Oryzias latipes: one gene and its partners. The protein of the gene in region 3 interacts with the protein of the main gene of each other region in a pairwise test. Links are inferred from orthologs where the notes say so. Each region holds a gene or a part of one and is shown on either strand. Other genes may lie near its edges.

Region 1 (3,951 bases), on a different chromosome or scaffold from region 3:
GGGAGCTAGCATAACCTGCTTTCTGGAATACCCCCCAGGGCAGGCTAATTCTGTGCCAACAGTCCCGCCCTCAACTCATAGGTGAATTTCTGATGACTCCTGCTGCTCTGCAGAAACTACATCTTAGAAAACAACACAAGTTTTTGGATTATGGCTAAAAATGGCATTATGATCAGTTTTTTTATTTTTAAATAGATCAAAAGATGACTTAAGTGGAACTTTTAAATGATATGCATCTACTAAGAAAATCTTTCTTTTCAGTATGACCTTTTTTAGATGTACATAATTTCAAAACTAGTATAGTAATATTGTATAGTGTGACTATTGTGTAAATAATAGAAATTATAGCAGAACTTACAATCTCTCCTCACTTTCTACAAAGAATTTACAAATAATATAAATTATTTGTAAAAAAAACATTTTTGTTCAAACAGAATAAGCAAAATGATTGAATATAGGGTTGTATAGAACCTTTTTTAATAACTTAAAAAAAACTTTTACAAAAACATATTTTAAAACTAAAATAAATGCCATCAACAAGCTGTTGTAGGAATTTCTTTGCTCAAGAAGAGTCTAGAATGCATAGTTTGCTACATTATATTATGATCCATTTTTCAGCTATGTGCTCGGCTCTGCAAACCAGATGATGGCAGCAGAGGGCTCAGATGAGAAACCAGTTACGCTGGAATACAGGGGCTTTGTTGAACAACAGCTATCAGAGGTAAATAAGTGCTGCAGCTTTTCTTTGTCTGGCTCCTCTGTTTTTCTTAGGTAGTGTGTTTTGTCTGAATTTTTTTCAAAATATTTAGTTTTAAAGCATGACTATCTTTATGTTTTCAACAAAGTATTTGTCACCGTTTCGTAACTGATTTAATTTATTTTATAGTTGTCGTCAAATTAAGTAGGAAAAAGATCCCCAGAATAAATGTAACTTATTAGGGGTGCTTGTAGGTGTTGGTAGCATCAGGAACCAGTGTGATGTACTGACAGAGATTTGGTTGCTTTAGGTTGTCTCTGTTGTGTGTTAGACATGTACAGGTTGTACTACAGCAGGAATGACATCAGCTTAGTTCCAGAAAACTCTCACTGGTGATGCGAGCAGACCCCTATGCGAGACATTACCTCATGTCTCCATGTCATTTCCTGCAAACAGATTTTTTTAATTCAATATTTATAAACTGAACTCCTGAGAAACTAGCTATTTTTTATTACCACATTTTTTTCTCCCTATAACTGATTGTATAATAATATTGAAATACTTTATCGTTTGAATAATATACTCATATATTTGTTTAGATTCTATTTTCTTTGTCACTATGCTGTATTTTCGGCTGCATAGATGAAATGAACTGTTCATCTTAATCACCCTTTGTTTAGAAAACATTTCGAGGCGGCATTTGGCCAGTAGGTGGCGATAAAGGGCAGGAACACCTCACCCACACTCTTGCACCAGGGACAATAGATGCGAAAGGGTTCATGTTGAGGCATCTCTGTTGGTGGGAAAACATGTTTTTGTATCATCAGGTGTCCTTGTGGTTAAACACAGCTGCTTTAATGAATCAAACCTAATTGATTAATATGACAGCTCAAGTATATCAAACTTTCTTATCACAAAGTTTGATCTAGAAAGCAAAAAAAAAAACCTGTTCTGCTGTTGAGGCATTCACAGATAAATATAACATTCATCCAAGCAGCAGAACAGAGTTGTGTTTATGATGAATTTAAAGGCCTAAAGTAGTGACATGACTAATTGAATCATTAAAAAAATGTGTGTTGACCTAAACAAATACATAAAAAACAAACCACTTTAGGTCTTCACAGTGTAATCTGTGCTGCTCTGAAACTAGATTAACCCTGTACCCAGTTTACTATTGATTGTGTTTACTGTCTGTCTGGATAGGCTGGCAATTTATCTGATGATTGCCCACTAAATGTCATTTTAGGAGATTTATCACCATAATTCACTGTCGACCATCGGTGCACTGCAACAGGATTATGTTAATGTTTGACCAGGTCAGGAATTCAAAAACCGGTAGTTTCACACCCATTTAATTTACTGAATTAAAAACAATCTTTTTAGGTCTATAAACATACATATGAGTCATATTTTACTAATTAAGATGGATAAGTGTTAGCTTTAGAGTCAGCAATGTTTTATTAAGGGAAAACCATCACTGTGGAACTTGGGTTTAAACATTAAAACACATTAGATCCATTACATGTCAAATCTTTCTTGCACATGTTAACCTTTACAGTTTTTCCCATTCATCATCTAGAGCTTATTCTTTAAATAGTGTGATGTTGTTCTCGCCTTTAACTGTTTTCTTTTTCTCTTTAGCTGTAATTTATTGTTGTTTTTTAATCTCCTCTGCTGCTGTAGTTAATGGATTCTGTCGATCTAAACTGTGGATACTTGCTATGATCTGCACCCCCCCAGTCCAGAGCCCCACCCAATAGAAAATCCACCCATCTTTGACCATCTCCTCTCTTAGTTTTACCGTTCCCTCTCACTAACTCCCTTCTCTAATTACTCCTTCTCCCTTTTCTAACAGCTTCCTGCTGCTCCCACCTGTCCACGCCTCCCTTCATCTCTTTCCCACTGTGACTCCTTCATCCTCACTTTCTACTCATTTCTCTTCTACTTTTTTTTTTCCCCCACTCGCAAACTCTCCCGCCTGACCCCCACGTTCCTTTCAGATGAAAATGCTGGTGGTGTCTATGGCGCAGAGGCTGGAGGAGATCGAAGGTGGCCTTCAGGATGGATGTGATGAGGCCTGACACTGATGGATGCCCGCCCGCTTATCAGAGACCGTGTTTGTCCACGTGTTAACGCACAGTTCCTGTGTTTGAGCTCTTTGTCCTGTATGGTTTACATTATTCCTTCCCACCTGAAATTCCACCTCATTCCTTCATGGGTACATTTTGTTCCACAGCCTCACCTTGCTCTCGTCCCAAGTACAACTGCTGAAACAAAGACTGCCGGCACTCGTAATCAATCATCTTGCCAGCTCGCCTCTCGTGGCACCGCCGTCTCTGTGGGTCTTTGTATGTGTGCCACGGGAAGAATGTTTATTTGTGCAGGATTTCATCATGCAGGCTGCACACTCAGCACAGTGCAGTATTGATCTTTCACTTCGCGGCCACACACACTTCTTCTTCTCTTATGTCTTTTCAACGGATAGTGTGGAATTTTCCCATTAAAGCAAATTCAAATTTGCTGAAATCCCAAAGAACATGTTATTTTGGGGTGGCTGAAATATTATTTTCTGTTTAAAAAAAAAAAGGCAATTGTATCATTTCTTTTTTGTGTGATTTCATGTATTTTTACGTAATAAAGTGTCACCTGTTCCATAATAAAAAATTTTTTCAAACCATCGACAAAGTATCGTCTTTGTATTTATACAAAAAAACAATCCGAGCTATCAACATAATCTTTTTAAAGTGTTCTTTTTTGCAGAGATTTTTAGGGATCATCTCATCCTGCTATGCTTTCCAAGTAAAACTTCCTCTTGGATTCTAGAGTTAAAAGGTTAACTCCAGGGGTGGCAGGGATGATTAAATATTAATACCTCAATGTTTGTTTACTAAATGACCTCTAATGTGCCTAGCAACACTTTTCTACCATAAACGCCGAAGCAGCTCAGTGCTGTACCGCTCGCCCGCCCTCACCCACGAGGTTTCATCAGCCTCACAGAACAACAACAGTCGAGGATGGCCAACCAGCACGCTGTATCCAAGGGCAGGTTGCGATGGCAACTGAGAGCATGTGCTACGCCGAGAGTGCCTGTTGCCATCTCGTCATCGCTTTGAGCGCTGGAGGAGCAGTCGGCCCGCTCACTGGCCAAAACGCCTGTCAGTTGAAGTTATCCCCCACGCAGAGGAGGAGTTCTGAATGAACACCCCCTCCCCAAAACCCCTAATCTCCGCAGGATGTTTTTCTCCAGCTCTAAC
Region 2 (3,442 bases), on a different chromosome or scaffold from region 3:
ATGTTTGAACGTGGAATGAAGCGGCGGGTTTTGGGGGGGCTTCTCTCCCCAGGCATCCTCTGTTCCCTCTGCTGGCGCTGCTGTTCGAGAAGTGTGAGCAGTCCACGCTGAGCGCCGACTGCATCACCTCCGCCAGCTTCGACGTGGACATCGAGAACTTCGTCCGCAGTCAGGAGAAGGAGGGCCGGCCCTTTTTCAGCGAGGACCCTGAACTCGACAACTTGGTGAGTCGCCTTGGTAATGCTGCCCCCCCAATACAAAAAAAACCAGCCAGCTGATCCTTTTCAGGAGCTTTCTCAGCGTCCAATCAGAAGTTTGGTGCTTGGCAGGAAGTCAGACACAAACATGGATGTGGTCATTCCTGCATGAACGGCGTGTTCAGGTCTAACCATATGATCAGCGGATCCATGCTGATGACACGCCGCTCTCTTTCTGCTCTGTGGAGATGGTGAAAGCCATCCAGGTGCTCCGGATCCACCTGCTGGAGCTGGAGAAGGTGAGCGACCTGTGCAAGGACTTCTGCAGCCGCTACATCGCCTGCCTCAAGACCAAGATGAACAGCGAGACGCTGCTGAGCGGCGAGCCCGGCAGCCCCTACTCGCCCGTGCAGGGTCAGGCGCAGGCCTTCTCCCCCACCAAGACTCAGGTGAGCTCTGGCCCCCTCCTCCTGCAGGTAGACGTGTGCGACCCCGAGGTCATGTGTTCCGGTCTGTGTGCAGACCCCCAGCTCCATGTCCGGGGCCATCAGTCCCCAGGGTCAGATCGTGGTCCCGGCCTCCACCCTGCAGCAGGGCAATGTCACCGTGACCGCCGTCAACCCCAACCAGATGGTGGCAGGTGGGTCCGCGAGCGCCCCCCCCCGAACCGTCAGGCAGCAGCTGGAAGCTGAGCATACCTGTGTGTGTTTCAGGAGGGGCCGTGTACCAGCCCGTCACCGTGGTTACCCCCCAGGGTCAGGTGGTGACCCAGACTCTCTCACCGGGAACCATCCGCGTCCAGAACAATCAGGTACGTCCGTGTGGTGCCAGTAGGAGGGGCCATTGTCCGCGAGCGCGCTCATGAGTAGAGGTGGCCGATCAATCGGAGTGTCCATAGTATCTGCATCAAAGTATTGATACTAGCGTGATGAGATCGATACTTTAGATACTTTGGTCGCAGTTTTGTAAAAATGCGTCCAGTAAAGAGCTCATGCCAGCGCGGCGTCTGTCCGCCTGCAGTGTTGCTACATTAAAACGGAGCAAAAGCCGCCGATTTGAGCGGTAAACTCCCCAATCTGTGGGTGTAAACAGCACCCCCCCCACACACCTACCCCTCCCTGTGTTATGCCATCACTAACATACATGTTCTATATTTGAAGCAGCTTCAGTTCAGGTTGTAATTAGTTAATAAACATGCTTAACTGTCCCGTGTTTTATTATATACCTAATGAACAACAATGATTTATTTCCAAAGATTTTCTATGATCAAACATTTCAAGAAAACGTATCGGTGAACAGAAAGCCCCCACAGTCTGTACGACATCCACGCAAGACAGGAAGTACCAAACAGTGCAGTTCCTTGAATGACCACTGGAGGCAGGTTGTCAGATTCCATTTTTCAGGCCCACTTTATGGGGTTGCTGGGGTCTATCCTATCGGTTCTTGGGGAAGGCGGGGTTTACTGTGGACGCTATGCCAACCCGTCACAGCGCTAAATCTGATTGAATCCAGAAATAAACCAGTTTGGTTTTAAAGAGTTTTTCAAAGACTGCTGCTTCATTTCTGTTTTATACCTGGGGGACATCAGTGGTTCCGGGTCATTAGGGGTCGGCTTTTCTGAATTGGGAGGGCCCAAAAGAACTAAAACCTGTTCCCGCCCTATACCTCTCTGCGTTGAGATGGGCGGGGTCAAGTCCAGTAATCGTGCCTGTCGCTCCTCCTCCTCGGTACTGTCGGTTCAGAATCGGGGAGTTCTTCAGGTAGGGGGTCCGGTGTGTCTGGACTCTTGCAGCTCACCTTTGACGGGACGTCTGTGCTCAGTTTCAGCTGCAGTTCCACCAGGATGTGAACCTGTTCAATCACGACGACAACTCCACCAAGAATAAACGCGGCGTCCTTCCCAAACACGCCACCAACGTCATGCGCTCCTGGCTCTTCCAGCACATCGGGGTGAGTGCGTCTGCAGGTGTGGTCGATGCAGAACGTCTGCCATCGTAGCTTCACGCCGTTTCTTCTGGCTCTGCAGCACCCATATCCAACAGAGGACGAGAAGAAGCAGATCGCCACGCAGACCAACCTGACACTCCTGCAAGTCAACAACTGGTGAGTGAGGAGCCTCTGCTGCTGCTGCTGCTGCAGGAACCTCTGCTGCTGCTGCTGCAGGAACCTCTGCTGCTGCTGCTGCAGGAACCTATGCTGCTGCTGCTGCAGGAACCTCAGCTGCTGCTGCAGCAGGAACCTCAGCTGCTGCTGCAGCAGGAACCTCAGCTGCTGCTGCAGCAGGAACCTCTGCTGCTGCAAGAACCTCTGCTGCTGCTGCTGCAGGAACCTATGCTGCTGCTGCTGCAAGAACCTCAGCTGCTGCTGCAGCAGGAACCTCTGCTGCTGCTGCAGCAGGAACCTCAGCTGCTGCTGCAGCAGGAACCTCTGCTGCTGCAAGAACCTCTGCTGCTGCTGCAGCAGGAACCTCTGCTGCTGCTGCAGCAGGAACCTCAGCTGCTGCTGCAGCAGGAACCTCAGCTGCTGCTGCAGCAGGAACCTCTGCTGCTGCTGCAGCAGGAACCTCAGCTGCTGCTGCAGCAGGAACCTCAGCTGCTGCTGCTGCAGCAGCAACCTCTGCTGCTGCTGCTGCAGGAACCTCTGCTGCTGCTGCAGGAACCTCAGCTGCTGCTGCAGGAACCTCAGCTGCTGCTGCAGGAACCTCTGCTGCTGCTGCTGCAGGAACCTATGCTGCTGCTGCTGCAGGAACCTCAGCTGCTGCTGCAGCAGGAACCTCAGCTGCTGCTGCAGCAGGAACCTCAGCTGCTGCTGCAGCAGGAACCTCAGCTGCTGCTGCAGCAGGAACCTCTGCTGCTGCAAGAACCTCTGCTGCTGCTGCAGCAGGAACCTCTGCTGCTGCTGCAGCAGGAACCTCAGCTGCTGCTGCAGCAGGAACCTCAGCTGCTGCTGCAGCAGGAACCTCTGCTGCTGCTGCAGCAGGAACCTCAGCTGCTGCTGCTGCAGGAACCTCAGCTGCTGCTGCTGCAGGAACCTCAGCTGCTGCTGCTGCAGGAACCTCAGCTGCTGCTGCAGCAGGAACCTCAGCTGCTGCTGCAGCAGGAACCTCTGCTGCTGCTGCAGCAGGAACCTCTGCTGCTGCTGCTGCAGCAGCAACCTCTGCTGCTGCTGCTGCTGCAGGAACCTCTGCTGCTGCTGCAGGATCCTCAGCTGCTGCTGCAGGAACCTCAGCTGCTGCTGCAGGAACC
Region 3 (3,652 bases):
AAAAAATATAAATAATCAATCCTTTTATTGAAAAGTGGCATGTCTAATCACTTTTGTCTTTTTTTTTCTATTTCCCCCTTACTTGCGCTTTTAAAATCCAGGCCTTACTTACTTCAAGCACTGGAGCCTTCTTTTTTTTTTTTTTTGTCCCAAAGTTCAGTCTTTCTGCTATGCCTATCTCTTGCCCCTTTTGTTACCGGCGGGAGGCTTTTTTAGCTGGAGAAGTGGCCCTCCTGCTCCGAAACCCACAGCAGGCTGGTTAGACACGCCAAAGGTCAGGCCAGCCGACGGGTTTATGCCCGGGTTGCTGAAGTTGAAGCCCGAGCTGCTGGTGCTGCCAAAACCTAGTGGACATAGAAAAGACATCCAGGTCATGGGGAGATGCTGCAGGATCAAGGAGAAGACCATGTTAGCATTTGCTGCTATGAAAACAACAGTTTGTTCGTTGTAGAATAGAAAGGTATTGTATTAAATAAAAAGAAATAAATACATAAATGGGTGTTTTTCATTTGAATGTTTTTTTAGGAACTACAAAAGTAAAAAACTACAACTACTGTGCTCCATTTTTTTTATGTGCTCGTCTTGATATCACCGGTCTGTTTTCTTCTTCTTCCTACTTTATCCACAAACATTACAGAGCAAAACGATGGGGGACATTTTTAAATTTAGAGCGGTTTATTTTGATGCAGAAAATGAGTTACAGCTGCAGTTTTTTTTTTAATAAGTAGGATCCGCCTGTTCTGATGGATGTGAAGCTCCAAATGTTTGACCAACAAAACAGACTGGCGGTATAGTGACAAAACGGACACAGATCACGTATGATACGGACATGTTAGCTGCGTTTTCACTTCAATGAACAAATGGATTCGCGACAATTTCACCTAATGGAAACAACAATTTAGAAAAAAAAAAAAACTCACATTTATGGAGTATTTATGGAGTATTGGGGCATATCATGAGCGATGCTCTTGGATGGAGCGTAGTAACAAAAATTCCTACAAAACTTATAAACGTATGCAAGTTACCTTCCTCACCATCAGATGAAGGCATCTAGAAGAATCATCAAAAAGTGTTTTCTGTGTTCTGCTACTGTTGAAGGCGAGTCGGAGGACAGTATTTACGCAGACTGAACATACCTGCACTCAGACTGCCCCCTGCGGGCTTGGCAGCGGTGGAGAAGCCAAAAGACGACCCCGCACAGCCCACGCCGCCGAATCCTGGTCCACCAGCAAATCCTGGGGGACAAGAGGGACATGGGAGTCAGACGGAAAACCGAAAACGAGGGCGTCGGCACACAAAAAGAAGAAGAGAGTTTGGCAGTGAGGGGAGGGAAACTTAGGCAAAAGATCTGAAAAACAGGCTGATGCAATACAGTTTCAAAGCTACACACAACCACAAACCCAAGATTGTGGAAGGTAAAAGAACAAAACCATCAGTGTAAGTTGCTCAGACTACCTATTCCTGTAATTGTGGATGTTTTAATTAGAAGTGCAAACGTTTTCTGGAGAAAAATAACTATTAATATTAGAACCAGGTAACTTTTGCCAATTTTTTTCTTTCAAGGACCGGAAGTCACATTTCTAGTGATTTCAATGTCAAAATAAAGATAGGAGTCACTTTTCTTGAATGTACTTTAAACTACGAATGAAGGAAGAGGGGGGGGGGGGTGTTATACAGTGACTGTACCCACAAACACACACTAGCAACCTGTTCCTTTGAAACAAGAAGATCTCCACAATCTCCTGCTTAAAGGGTTTGTTGTCATTAAGGAGAAAAGTGAAACGCTAGGAGAAAGAATAAAATAAAATAGCACAAAGCGAGCAACATTTTCCAAAATTCAGAGGTAGTACCTCCAAGGGTAGAGGAGCCCAGGCTAGTGCCCACTGCTGAGGCAAAAGGATTTCCAAATCCTGCCCCCAAGGGTGCCTGTGTCCCTATGGCACAGAGGGAAAAAGCACTTGCTTTACTGTTCTGGGAACATCTTTGTTTTTTTTTGGACATAATAATGCCATGTATAAATAAATCTATATGTTTGTCTTGTGCTATCTTAGATGACCCCACCCTTACATTGATGTGTTCTTCCTACTATGACAAAGGTGGAAAGATTTCATGTAATCCATGGACACCAGTGAAGATCACAAATCATTGAAGAAAAAAGGTTCAGAGCACTGTCTAGTGGGTCTAGATGACCCAACTCCCAATGGTAAAGTGCCTAGGATAGCACAAGGGTTAAATGCTAGCGTAATAGCAAACAACTATTATTCATGATTTTATGTAAATGTCCCTGAAAATTGTAAATAAATGTGGCCGTGCACAATGCTTTGTACTCCACGTGTTATGAACAATGCAGTAAAAAGTTTAGGAAATTGTTTTAAAAAGAAACCATTTCAGGCAATAACAGGGATGCTTAGAGGTTTTTAAGAACTTGGAAAAAAGGCTGCTAGTTCTTTCACTCAGAATCTTGTCTTTTTGCATTTCTTTGATGACTTTAATTTAAAAAAAAAAAAATAGAAAAATGTCCAATTAGTCTGCACTACCAAAAAATAAATAATAATAATAAATACTCCAGTCAAAACAAAACAAGGACAAATGTTTCTTTGTTAAAAACTGATTTATTGTCAATTTATATGCAATTCCACTTACATAAAACACAAACAAACAGGAACAGAATCGGTTAATTGCTATCTGCTACCGCAATCAATAAATTTTCAAGATTTCTGAGAGTGAATGAACTAGCATACATCCCCAAAAAAACACACACACAATTAGCACAATTACGCTATATAGTTATATAAAAGGCACAACATTTTGTATTAAATATATTGGATCAACAGGCATTTAAATTAAAGCACTCAAGAGTTAAGAGTTTATAGTATCGTTTCAGTGTAAGCTGATGTCAAAAAGTGGAGTTTTCAAGTTCCAAACCATGTGGTTGATGTGAGAATGACTCATGAAGGTGGGTGTGGTTTTGGTTGAAGAGCATTACAAGACTAAATCTACCCAAGATGCAATCTTCGTTGTACAAGACTAACTTCACTGAGGTAATTGGTTATTCACTCAGTTCCTACACACCCTGAAACCATCGTCAGAGCCAAACACACAAACACACACACACACACTACTGAAAAATAGCTAAATATTAGAAATATTTCAAGGAATTGTGTCATGAGAGACAGAAACATTCAATAAAGTCTTCAACAGCTGACCACTCAAATACTACAAGAGTTCTCAAATGAGCATTTTGGTGTGATGTTGAACTGAGGGTTAACTAAAGGAAAAACAGCTTTTACTACATACATGTTTCTAGTTGAGGACTTCAAGCAATTTGCCTGGAAAGTAACATTCCTAAAAAAAAAATGTAAAAGCTGGATTCACATTTTGGTGTAATTTAATTCAGAAAAAAATATCTAATCTGGGTAATAAGATCACTTCAAACTCCAAAAACCTTAAATACAGCAATTCACTTTTTATACTGCCAGTATACTACAAATGTAGAATCATGGAAGACAATGTTAAGAAACCACACAAATAATTTAAATTCCTCAAGAAGTTGATTGGAATTCCATCTCTATATTACAAAAATATTAGTGTTTTTATGGAAAAAGCCAGAAAGGTTTTTCCTTTTTTAAATAAATAAACTCCACCAATAAAC

The links.
Region 1: the proteins of nup58 (region 3) and mis18a interact in binary tests that used the Homo sapiens proteins (3 or more experiments, as listed by UniProt). The link is inferred for Oryzias latipes from reciprocal best matches to the Homo sapiens genes NUP58 and MIS18A.
Region 2: the proteins of nup58 (region 3) and pknox1 interact in binary tests that used the Homo sapiens proteins (3 or more experiments, as listed by UniProt). The link is inferred for Oryzias latipes from reciprocal best matches to the Homo sapiens genes NUP58 and PKNOX1.

The regions. Positions count from the first base shown.
Region 1 is NC_019872.2:10,921,753-10,925,703, forward strand, and holds the end of mis18a (protein Mis18-alpha), read left to right. Parts: intron 1-618; coding exon 619-721; intron 722-1,943; coding exon of another isoform or gene 1,944-2,009; exon of another isoform or gene 2,010-2,013; intron 2,014-2,697; coding exon 2,698-2,778; 3' UTR 2,779-3,361; downstream 3,362-3,951. UniProt on the Homo sapiens protein: Required for recruitment of CENPA to centromeres and normal chromosome segregation during mitosis.
Region 2 is NC_019879.2:31,118,815-31,122,256, forward strand, and holds part of pknox1 (homeobox protein PKNOX1), read left to right. Parts: intron 1-52; coding exon 53-224; intron 225-445; coding exon 446-646; intron 647-719; coding exon 720-837; intron 838-910; coding exon 911-1,008; intron 1,009-2,018; coding exon 2,019-2,147; intron 2,148-2,223; coding exon 2,224-2,300; intron 2,301-3,442. UniProt on the Homo sapiens protein: Activates transcription in the presence of PBX1A and HOXA1.
Region 3 is NC_019878.2:13,563,833-13,567,484, forward strand, and holds part of nup58 (nucleoporin p58/p45), read right to left. Parts: intron 1,935-3,652; coding exon 1,851-1,934; intron 1,236-1,850; coding exon 1,137-1,235; intron 345-1,136; coding exon 175-344; 3' UTR 1-174. UniProt on the Homo sapiens protein: Component of the nuclear pore complex, a complex required for the trafficking across the nuclear membrane.